3 linked regions of the Drosophila melanogaster genome follow. The protein of the gene in region 2 interacts with the protein of the main gene of each other region in a pairwise test. Each region holds a gene or a part of one and is shown on either strand. Other genes may lie near its edges.

Region 1 (4,165 bases), on a different chromosome or scaffold from region 2:
GGAGTGTAGTCGTACTTCCCTCGCGCCATAGGAAAGAGGCTTAGAATCTGAAATTGTTTGATGGTTACACAAAGTGCGGAATAAATGCTTTGTGTTCTTACTAGAAAGATGCGCATCGTGAATACTTGTATCTACTTGTGGGTGGCTAAATACATTTTTTGTGCGGGCAGTTCGGCAGATGGGTTTCCTTTGCCGAAGATTACATTTGGTCGACGCTTTTATACGTTACTGTTCCAGTGGCTTTTCTGATGCAAGCAATCATTTGTAAGATGGAGAATATGCAAATCTATTGAAATTAGGGAGACGTAGGCCTATTTGATAATTCAGCCCATTTTCATTGCATATTATAGAGCAAATAAGGAAGAAGTAACATTATAAATTATAACAAAAAGCTTTGAGAGTTTGTGCGGACATGCCATATAAAATGTTCTCCTAGTGTTCTTTGTAATGATAATTTAAACACATTTTAAATATTTTATATTCTTTATTCGAATGTTACTTTAAAAATGCTCTGATACTTAATTGTAGTATTTGTCATTTTATGCATTTAGGCGAACTTCTTCCTCAACAAAAATGTGCACTTCACGACATATACTTTCAATTCATATTTCTTCAAGTAAAGTTTCCGACTATTTTGTTATCGTTTTTCCATTTTTTAACCTTTTGTTCATTAGTTGATTAACTAATGTACTGCAGAAACAACATTCGCGTATTTGAACCACCTATTTGCTAAACAACTTTTAAGTCATTATAAGTAAGCCACTAATATTCACAAAGGTGTCATATAAAAGCAGTCCGGCGGCCATATAACTGAAAAGCGAGTTTTTTTTTTTTTTTTTGGTAAGTGTCATCAGATGCTTGCTGTTTTTGATAAAATAACTGAAAAACTTGTTTTGCGTCCAACAGAGCACACAGTAAACTCTAAGGGGAAGAGCAAATCGATTTTTAACAAAAAGAAAACATTCACAGAACTACCCATTTTATAGTTCATGTTAAGAATATTTCTCTTGAGAATTGAAAAATTCGCTACATAGAATAATCACTGTATATATATATATATGTACATAATATACAATATATACATGTTTCAAGTTCATCAAAGCAAGTTATCACAGGTTCACACCTAACGAGAATACATGTTTCAACTTAATATTTTATCAATTTATTGAACACTTTTATACTGGATCCCATTAGGTTTTTAATTATGTAAGCATGTTATACACTGCACTATAAAATGTATAGTTCAAATTTAACTGTTTATAATTTTTAATTATAAGTTGATGTCGTAAAAAATGGTTTTAACCACTCAAAACATGTATAGAAAATTTAAATCGCTTGGTTATGAACCCATATCATCTGAGTCATATTTAAATTGGGTTTTGAGTCAATATAAAAAGTGAAATAAAAACATTTTTATGCAACGGCACACATTGATTTTCAAAAATTAAAATATTATTTTCTGTAAGTGCACGCATTGATTGTTTAAGCTTTGTATAAAAGAGATGTATGCAAGGGCGCAAGGCTTAGTCCGTTTTTGAGTTTTCGACAAAATGAAGATACTCAACGTAAGTATGCACAAATTAATGAGCGGAACTGCTCCTAATGGCTCCCATCGCTGTCCACACAGTTCATAATCCTGCTAGTCCTGGTGACCATCGCTCTATCAGCCCCCGCTGCCGCCACAGACAATGCTCCTACGGTATCCGTGCTGCGCTACAAAGATGATCGGGATTTGGCTAATATTCAGCGGGCAATTATTGCGCAGTACGAAAGAATTGGCGGCACCACTAAGGTTCATCAGCCACTGACGGCCAATATCGTCAACCCAGCAAGCCTTGGAATTGTCATTTAATGCTCGTCAAAAATAAATTGTTTGTATTTGTGATTGTTAGCCCCGCTGATAAGACAGAGCTGCGTGCCTTTTGGGATTAACCGACCCGCAGAAGTTTTAGTCTGCTCTTGACACTCGCCGCGTTCGCAGAGCCCTTACGATGCTTCGCAATCTGTCCGTGTGTCTGATATCATTTATCGGGCTCTGGTGCCTGAGCAATACTCACACCCAGCGCCTGCCCCCAGAAGGGCGAATGCGCCCCTTGCAAGACGACTCGATCCGCTCTCCCGTGGACCGCGACATAGTCTTTCCGGAGTTAGACGCGGGACCAGGCAAGCCCGAGGAGAAGATGTGGTTTCACATAACAGACTTTCAATTTGATCGGGTGGAGGGCCCGACCCAGCCCAAGCCCAAGCCCAGACAATACCCCCCGCCGCCGATGCCCGGCCAGCCCTTTCCGCCGCCCCCCGGGGGCTTTAAAAAGAAGGAAAACAAGCAACGCCGCCTCTGCGAGCAAAGTAAGTAATTCGAGTGTTCAGCCATTCGATGGTTCGTGAGTCATTGACTGAGTTTATCACCAAGAATATTCCGAATATGTGGAGCGCATCTTTCCCAATGATACCGCAGTGGCTGCCGATGCCAACGACGCAGACTTCGATGGTCGGGTCCTGGCCCGGCCCGGTGAGTACCCACATATGGTACGAAACTAGGTAGCTGATAAGCCTCTACTGAGGAACTAACCCAAGCCCCTCGAATCTGTTTTCGTAGGCTGCCGTGGGCTTCGAGTCGGACAGAGGGCAAGTGGACTACAAATGTGGCGGCAGCTTGATAAGCGAGAGATTCGTGCTTACCGCAGCCCACTGTACATCCATATACGAGTGAGCATGCCAGTTAGCCCCCTGACCCCCAGTCCCGTGACTGTAATTTTCCTCTTAGGGCGCCCCCCAAGTGGGTTCGCATCGGGGACCTTGACCTGGCCTCCGAGAAGCGGTCGGTGGAGGCCCAGCTGCTTCGGATTGAGCAAGTGTTCGCGCACCCAAATTACAAAAAAAAGATGTACTATGACGACATAGCCCTACTTAAGCTGGAGAAGGAAGTGGAGTGGGTACCCAACAAGACAGAAGTGCGACCGCTGTTTGCTAACACGATTCTCTAAGACTGACGGAATACGTTAGACCTGTCCGCCTGTGGGTCTTTCCAGAGCTGCCCACTACGATAGCCTTCGCAATGGGGTACGGCGCAACGAGCTTCGCCAAGCCCATGACGAACCGCCTCACAAATCTTAACCTGACCGTAGTGCCGAACGCTGAGTGCAACGCCGAGCTGCCGCCTCTTGCTGAAACTCCCAGTGGAGTTCTGGAAAGCCAGATCTGCGCCCAGGACTACATTCTCAACAGAGACACTTGCCAGGGGGACTCGGGTGGACCCCTACAACTGAATTTGCCGGGTCGGCGCCGAGGGCATAGAATACACTATCACCTAATTGGCATCACCTCATACGGCGTGTTCTGCCGCAGTAGTTACCCATCAGTTTACACCAGAGTGTCTTCTTTCTTGGACTGGATCGAACTTACTGTTTGGGCCTGACAGATGCCTACATCAGGTTTGTATGATGTTGATGAAATTTAAGCCAAAATATATATTAAAAGAAATGGTATATTCTTTCCATTTATATTTCGATTCTTCCTATGGCATCTGTGTGTATGTATATGGACCAATCTAGCCCAACAACTATTTTCACAGGAGATATTTAAATACATTGCTACAACATTACACTAGTGAATTGTAAAAATAAATTGTGCTAAACAGTGGCCATATTGAAATTTATTTTAAAGTTATATTAGATAAACATAGGTGTTAGAAAGGCAAAAACAAACATATTTTTTGGTAAATTTTGCTGAGAATTGAATCATTGGTTTTAGACTTCATTGTTGGCATCAATAACAAGTTGCTTCATGTCTTCATAGCTGGGCTGGTTCTACGAGACCAAGAAAAGGGTTAAAAATACATAGAAATTATATAAATCTATTGTGTAGCGACTTTACAATTAAGAGAATAGGCCATCAGCATTAGTAATCAGCTTACTGTACAAGCAAGCAGTTAAACGAAGACAAACTCTAGGTCTGGTTTGGATCACGTACCTGCCAATAATTATCGTCCCAGTTGGGGAACATGCGTTTGAAAACCCTTGGTTCCTTGCCCTGGGGGACGCGAATGATGCTCACCGTGTCGAAGGAGCGGGCGGTAGGCTCTAAATTAAAGTAAAGCTGTAAATCAAGAAAAGACGTATAATTAGACGTGATAGAAAGCGATGGTGGGAAACGAGAAAACCTT
Region 2 (2,722 bases):
TCACGTTTGCTATGCCTCACCCTCGATGGAATTTGAAAGCAATCGGCTATAAAACAAACACCAAGCGCTAATTTCCATTTGAACTTGAGCGGCAGTCGCTAAACTGCATGTTGAATATGGTTCGAATGAATGCGGATCGAAGGTTTTGGCGATACGGGTTTTTTTTTTTTTGGCCACTTAACTGGCCTTTATTTACTAAGCCAACTGACTTAGTAAGCTCTAGGTCGTGGGATGTACCGATATCAGGCAGTTAGTCATAAGCTTAACGGGATGAAGAAAAATATATATATTAAGATGGTAACCACAATTGCAGAAATGAAATTAATAGATTAGTTATTTCTATCATAACATTGAAGTAATTTCTCTATCTCTCCATTTTCCTTGCTTATGAATAAATTTATCCTGGACATTTAATGACCCAAATTACTACAGTAGATTGATTTGTAAAACAAAAAGATTCGCAAATATTTCTCACTGTATGCTTGCTACAGTAAGCTCTGGCTATAAAAGCTTCATTCGCAGAAAATAAAAACAACTTCTGTTACAGCCGAAAACTATGCCACTTATATATTTAAGCTCTAGTTAACCATTGTTAACAAGTTAAGTAGACTTATTTTTGCTTTCTTTGTTTCATTATGGAAATTAAGTTGTCATACGAAAAAAAAAAAACACAGGATAGTGGGACATCCCACGATGAAATTATATGCACTCTGCGCTATCCTGCTCCTTGCCATTGTGGCAGTCCAAGGATATCCTGGTATACACGGTGGCTTTGGACACGGAGGACACGGTGGACTCAGTGGCTTGGGAGGACTTGGCGGCTTAGGAGGACGCGTTGGTTTCGGAGGACCCGGTGGCTATGGAGGACCCGGTGGCTACGGAGGACTCGGTGGCTACGGCGGACCCGGTAGCTACGGCGGTGGTGGTGGAGGCGCAGTAGCCACTGCCAACGCTAATGCAAACGCAAACTCAGTTGGTTACAGTCCGGGTGCTTACTACGGATAAGGAATGATGATAACAGCAGTCCAGAAACGGCAATTGCTTTAAAAAATAAACAAATGCATAATTATTGCATAAAGACTAAGACATTTTTCTATTATTACTTTTGCCAAACGTTATCAACACAATGGCCTTACCTTCTATGTATAATATACTATAAATATAAATTTATTAATTTTTAATTATTATTTATTAAGTGAAGAATATATATATAATTTTCGGGTTCAAAAGTTGTAATCACCGGAAAAGGAATTTTGTATAAAATGTGTAAACAGAAGCAAATCTAAGGACTTACATGATAAACTAGTTTTTATAGCTGATTATCATAATGAATTTATCTGAGCTTTTTTACAGCCTGAAAATATACTTTACCAAAACATGGCTTGCCAAAGCTAACCAGTTTTCAATTATTGATAACATAGTATATAAGCATATACTATACATATAGGTAATATTAAACGTCATGCGTTTTTAATATATGTCTAATTAATGTGCTAATCGAAGCCCCCATATATATGCCGATACAATATCGATTCTGTGATTTTTTTTGTTTTTCAGATAAACAAGTCGTCCACCTGTCACGGATGCTGGTATAAAAGAGGCCAGCACGCGATCACAAAACATCGCAATCTCTAACGATGAAGTTCCTGGCTATCTGCATTTTTCTAATCTTCGCCCTGGTGGCCGTTCAGGCACATCCTGGTGGATTCGGCGGATTCGGTGGAGGCGGTGGTGGCGGTGGTCGCGGTGGAGGCGGTGGAGGCGGTGGAGTCGGTGGAGTCGGCGGTTCGAACGCAGTTGCCAACGCGAATGCCGCTGCAACCGCCGACAGCAGAGGAGGCGGCCCAGCTTCCGCCTCGGCCTCGGCCACTGCAACCGCCAACGCCAGCTCCGGAGGAGGTGGAGGTGGACATGGCAGACATGGATAGGCTCGAAACGGATTCATAACTGTACTCTCGAAAAGTGGGCACGTCCGCTGACAGACCTACTAAACTGAAACCAATACCAATACCAATAAATATTAAAATGCTAATTCTGTTTTTGGAAATCCAAGATGTTGTTTTCGTATATTAGGTTAATAACCAGTTTATGAGTCGGGCATTATTTATAGATCTAATGACGTCAAACAAGATTTCTCTAGCCTCCTAAAAACAGACTAAGTTAACAGCGGGAGCTAATATTAGAAACTATGTTTTAAAATGTATCTAACAACTTGAATTACAACTGAAAAGTATGCATTATATATATATAGTTTTTGCAAATAGTTAGTGCATCTCAATTTTAATTTAATTTATTTTTATATTTAAAATCATTAAGCTCATTTCATTCATCATTTGTTTGTACAGCTTACCCGGAAATCCAAACAATTTGTGAGTTTTTTTTTTTTGTGTGATTACTTTTTTTATGTAATTAAGTAATTGCATTTGCCACCCACAACAAGTCTTGAATTTGGCCACTTACGGAGTGACACACTCAATTTCAGCAGGTCTAATAAATCGAAGATATTTTTTCACAAATGAAGTCCGACGTCTCTTGATATATTGTCAAGCTTCTTAAAACTCGGGTTTGCAATATTTAAATTTGCAAATTATCAACATCTGGATAAGTTTCTACGTTTACGGTAGCCAAACCTTTCCGAAATAAAACTAGTTTTATACCCCTTAATCGTACAGTAATAGGGTATGCTAGGCTTATTAGAATGTATGAAACAGATAGAAGGAGC
Region 3 (4,886 bases), on a different chromosome or scaffold from region 2:
AGTACTAGAAGTAAAGATAGTAGTATAAGTAGAAGTTAAGATAGTAGTAGTAGTAGTAGTAGTAGCAGAATTAGTAGTAATAGTACTAGAAGTAAAGATAGTAGTATAAGTAGAAGTTAAGATAGTCGTAGAAGTAGAAGTTGTAGTTAGAATAACTATTCTAATGTCTGTGTTAGTACTTTTAGTAGCAGAAGTAGTAGTAGTAGGGTAGTTTTTTTTACCACATCCCTGATATAACCCATATACCCATTGATATCATTGATACACCATTGAAGAGTCCGAAAACACCAAAATAACCATTGGAGGGCAGAAAGCGGACACAGTCAGATGGATATGGTATGTGAAAGACGAATACTCGTAAATTGGGAGTGGAGTGACAACAGGGAGAAAGAGGAAGAAGGCCAAGAGCAGTAACAGTAACAGTCGAAGGGGGGGGGGGGGGGACAACAACACTAATGGGCATAAACAAATCGCTTGATAAAATATTTGAAATTCATTTCGCGCCGCCGCTTGGCAGCCGTTGGCATTTCGATGACAGCATTTAATGCTTATTATGTAAACTCTTTTTTCTCTAACCGGGCCATTGGGTATTATTCGTTATTGGGTATAGGGAATGGTGTGGACTGTTGTGGAGTGGAGAGTGGGTCCAAAACAAAGGTCAGCCACAATATTATTGGGCACTGAATTGATTTTGAGTTCCGGCCAAACCCAAAATGTGGTTTTTTTTTTTTTTTTGAAACACCCTCCATCATCTCCCTCCACTTGTGTGTGCGCAACAAATTAAGCCCATTAAGCATCTTCGGGCAGCAGCAGCAACAACAACAACAACAACATCACCTGTTGCAATAGATTGAACACTCCAATCACAAGATGATCCACAAAAACCTCGGGCCATTTGTCTATAAAGCGGCTCAAATCTGTGGGAAGATGCGCTGACTGATGGGCTTTAACTTTCGCACAAATTTCCACCGAAAATTGCACAAATTTAGCTTAATAGGTTATAATTGTACCTATGATAAACGCTTTAAGACAAAATTAGCAAATTATACACCTTTCAACTTGGGCGAAATGAAATTACTTCTATGGCTATAATTAAAAGTTATTAAATAATCGAATCGAACATTAAAAGGAATGAAAAAGTACTATTAATTGATATTAAATTAAATTAATTGTAATTATTTAAATTATTTTTAATCTATTTTTAGAAATATCTTATAAAGAAACATCATTAATATACTCCTATTTTACATATCTATTTTCAACAAATCGCTGCCATGGCTGTATAAATTGATTTAAATTAATTTCGAGCTGTGTATTTTAAGGGGAATCACCTAAGCTAAGCCCTTTTGAACTCTTAATCAATATAGAAAAATCATAACAATCATTTTATTTTAACATTAATATATACCTTTTATGTCTGTAAAAATTGTCATTTATTAAAATCTACAGCAAGAATGTCTTGCACAACCCTAAATCCATTTACCTCGATTATGGCCAACAATTAGTGAACGATTTCACTGCCATTTAACGCTCAAACCGCAAAAGTGTGTCCATAATTGATAATTTTTTATTTCTGGTCATGAAGCAAATTAAAGCCGCACCATTTAGTTTTTCTTGGCTTTTGTGTGTAATTTTAGGGCCCAAGAACTGCGTTTTGTTTGCAGCGTTTACGTACGTGTTTCTCGCCCGCTGCCTGGCAGTTGTTAACTTGGCCAAAAGTGCCATGTTAACTGGTTTAACAGACTTTAACTGGCTTTTGCGGCTGCGCAGCAACTGGTTGCTTGGTGTTGCTAGTTGCTGCCGCTGCTGCTGCTGCTGTTGCTGCTTGGCCTCTGTTATGTCGCATGTTGCTGGTTTCTGGTTGCTGTTGGCCACGCTTTTTGGCCACCAAACGGATTCAGTGCAGCGGCGACTCTCGAACGGTATTGTTGGCTTTAGCGGTAACTCGCCATTGGCCGTGCATACGAAAAAAGATACACTCTGTTTATATAGTCAATCGTTTCTACTGTTTTTTTTTTTTTTTTGTTTGTTTTTTTGTTTGTTGAATTCGTTCGTGGCTGGAACTTTTCTTGCATTTTTTTTGCTTTTCTGTTTAGCTTGGTAGTTGTTTTTTTTTTTCTTGTTCAATTTGCGTGCCTCGAGTGAATGTGGATAATTTGGCAGATAGTTTTTCTGCGATTTGATATGTGTGCGGATTTAGTTATTCAGTTATATTGGGCCAAAAAGAGCACCGCCGACGCCGCCGCGCCTGGCCGAAAGTGAAAAACTGAATGCGCAGACGTGTGTAACAGTTTTTACTTTCGGCCTGGTTTTCTGCCTTTTTTTTCGGCATCTCTAGTAGTTGCTGTTTGGGTTGCTTTTTTTATTTGGCTGCTGCTGCTGGGAGGCAGTGGAGCATTCAGCCAAGATCTGTGCAGATTGCATAAAATACAGACAGACCAGCAGCAGCAGCAGCAGCAACAACAGCAGCAACTGCTAACTGCAACCGCATTTAGCCCAGTTTTCTGAGCAAATATTTTCGAAAAGCTAACGACAAAAAAATCTCACACTAAATCTTAGCGTTATTTTTTCCTCCTCGTCGTTGTCGTCGCGTTTAACTCAAATTATAACAACAATAAAAACAACAACGAGAGCAGCAGCAGCAGCAACAGCAACATCAGCAGCAGCAACAACAACAACAGTAACAACATCTAGCCCAAAGGAGCCTTGTATTGCCACCTCGACCAGCAAAAAGCCGCCAAAATGCTTCCGGTAAGTGGTTGCAGCGATATATAAGAGAGCAAAAAGAAAAAAAAGAAAAAAAATAAAAAAAATTGAACAAAAATCCACAAAACAACTCTCGACATTAACTGCAAAACTGAAAAATCATTTTTATTTCGCATTTTTGTTTCTTTTTGCCGCTTTTGTGGCCTGCATTTTGTACGCAATTAGCGCAAATCTGGCGAAAAGTAGTAAATATTTAGACCAGTTCGGCTATATCGACTGGATTTCCTGGCCAGCTTAAAAAGGCTGTGATTTATTTCGTTGAAAACAACCTTGGCAGGATCCGCGCTCGAAAGCTGTTATCCTTGAGTGAAAAAAGGCGAAAGATCAGGAAAGATTGCCAAACTGGTTACTCTTCGTTCTCGTTGATTTGAATAATTCATGGAGGCCGCGTTTTCGATTTCGTTTGCCTGGTTTAACTTGATATTAAAATGTCTCTCTTAGATGATTGCATAATTAATTTGTGTGACACATCGTGCTGGGCGCGAAGAATTCATCAGAATATGAGTTTTCGACGTGTTAAGTAATAGTTCTATCAAAAGTAAAAGTTTAGGGAATTCGTTTTTATAGTTTATGTGCTACTAAACAGACTAAGTGCTGGAATTTCAAAAATGTTTGAAATTTGTAATCAACTAGATCAAGATAAGCTATCTAGATCTTAAAGAATTTTTACGACTCATACAATTATGCATTTTGTATTTGCATATGAATTCGGAATCAAATATTTTATGGTTAATTTGCATTAAAATTCATAAATACTAAGTTGGACATATCTACGAACTATCTTTGATTAATTAATTGATCGAAAGTTCAGGTCGATTGGTTATCATTCAGGTGGGGAATTCGTCAAAAAGTGAGAGGAATGAGATATGCACGCCCACATAAATTGATCTAAAAATCATTTTTACGATCTCGCGCCTTATGTAAGCCACCACTTTCAACCGATTAACACTTTTGAAGACGCCAAAGACGTCAACACGATTGCAATTCCCATGCTAATCGAAGCGATCGAGTGCAAAACTCAAAACTGAAAACTTTCAAACACGAATCGCGAAATCGCTGCGAGATACATTGCACGCATATTAAAAGATGATGGTGTCTACTTATTGCTATTTAGAGATACATCCCAGACTTTTACTATTTTACAATTTCACTAGCTTCGCTAGCTTGAGGGGGCCGCAAATCGAATCGAAACGAGGCTCTACATCCGCTTGGACCTTCGATGAGGCATATTTCTGGCCCAAACCGAACCTATGATATTTCTGTTGCTCATGCAAATTTGCTGCTGCGCATGCGCATAAAACCCGTTTAGGAATTGTGTTATTTTTGATGGCTGTTTTTTTTTTTTTTTTTTTTTTGTTATTTTTGTCAATTTTCGGCTTGAACTTATTTTATTTTCGGCCACGTTTTTTTCTGTGGGCCCGCGGGGGCGAAACAAGTTTGGCGACAAGTGCTGCCAAGACTAGCCAAAATGATGTGTCTCATCTCCGCCAATCCGTTTGACGTCAGGCCGCAAAAATGCGTGAGAAGAGGAAATCGTCTTCGGCTTTTGTTTTCTTCAACAAAATAAAGGAAAAATATCAGCCGGAAATCGGTGGCCCAGCCCCAGAAAATAAGCCAGCGAAAATTGCTATTTACAAATTCATGCAACAGCAAAACTGCAACTGCAACATTGCAAGTTGCAACGCCAACGCGTTGCAGCCGCACCCAAAAGACAATGACAGTGAACTGAAAAGCAAGACGAGTCCAATCCAATCCATTCCGATCCTCCTCCATCAGCCATATGCATGCATTAAATCAGTCGGTCGGTCTATTCAAGTGTCTGATTTTCAATTCAATACCCTTTCCAAGTGGCTGCTTTACTTCTTCAGATGATTATTACCTTAAGAGCACTGTGAAAACAAAATTATATATACATTATATGATATTAGGAGCAACTAAAAGCTCATGATTCATTCATATTTCAAATATCCCAAAAAAAAAAAAAAATAAGCTAAATCATTAAGTGATGACGAGCTGCAAGCCATCTAGGTCCGCGTTCATATTGAAAAATTACATCCCAATGATGCTGATCTCGGATGAATTCATACGTATCATCTGACCCCGGAGGTGGTACATCCGCC

Evidence for each region. The genes of interacting proteins can lie anywhere in the genome.
Region 1: the proteins of CG17107 (region 2) and CG14642 interact in a two-hybrid assay, tested with the Drosophila melanogaster proteins (one large-scale study listed by BioGRID).
Region 3: the proteins of CG17107 (region 2) and Cht6 interact in a two-hybrid assay, tested with the Drosophila melanogaster proteins (one large-scale study listed by BioGRID).

The regions. Positions count from the first base shown.
Region 1 is NT_033777.3:4,240,522-4,244,686, reverse strand, and holds CG14642 (uncharacterized protein), read left to right. Parts: upstream 1-1,969; 5' UTR 1,970-1,991; coding exon 1,992-2,349; intron 2,350-2,413; coding exon 2,414-2,529; intron 2,530-2,599; coding exon 2,600-2,709; intron 2,710-2,767; coding exon 2,768-2,932; exon of another isoform or gene 2,933-2,988; coding exon 2,989-3,418; 3' UTR 3,419-3,434; exon of another isoform or gene 3,435-3,487; intron 3,488-3,554; 3' UTR 3,555-3,642; downstream 3,643-4,165. Other genes in the region: CG34305 (uncharacterized protein), read left to right, coding at 1,551-1,565, 1,628-1,852; Gel (gelsolin), read right to left, coding at 3,750-3,809, 3,973-4,098, 4,163-4,165.
Region 2 is NT_033779.5:10,680,354-10,683,075, forward strand, and holds CG17107 (uncharacterized protein), read left to right. Parts: upstream 1-1,612; 5' UTR 1,613-1,637; coding exon 1,638-1,928; 3' UTR 1,929-2,175; downstream 2,176-2,722. Other genes in the region: CG17105 (uncharacterized protein), read left to right, coding at 694-1,005.
Region 3 is NC_004354.4:10,014,982-10,019,867, forward strand, and holds the start of Cht6 (chitinase 6), read left to right. Parts: upstream 1-1,863; 5' UTR 1,864-1,922; intron 1,923-2,556; exon of another isoform or gene 2,557-2,636; 5' UTR 2,637-2,742; coding exon 2,743-2,751; intron 2,752-4,886.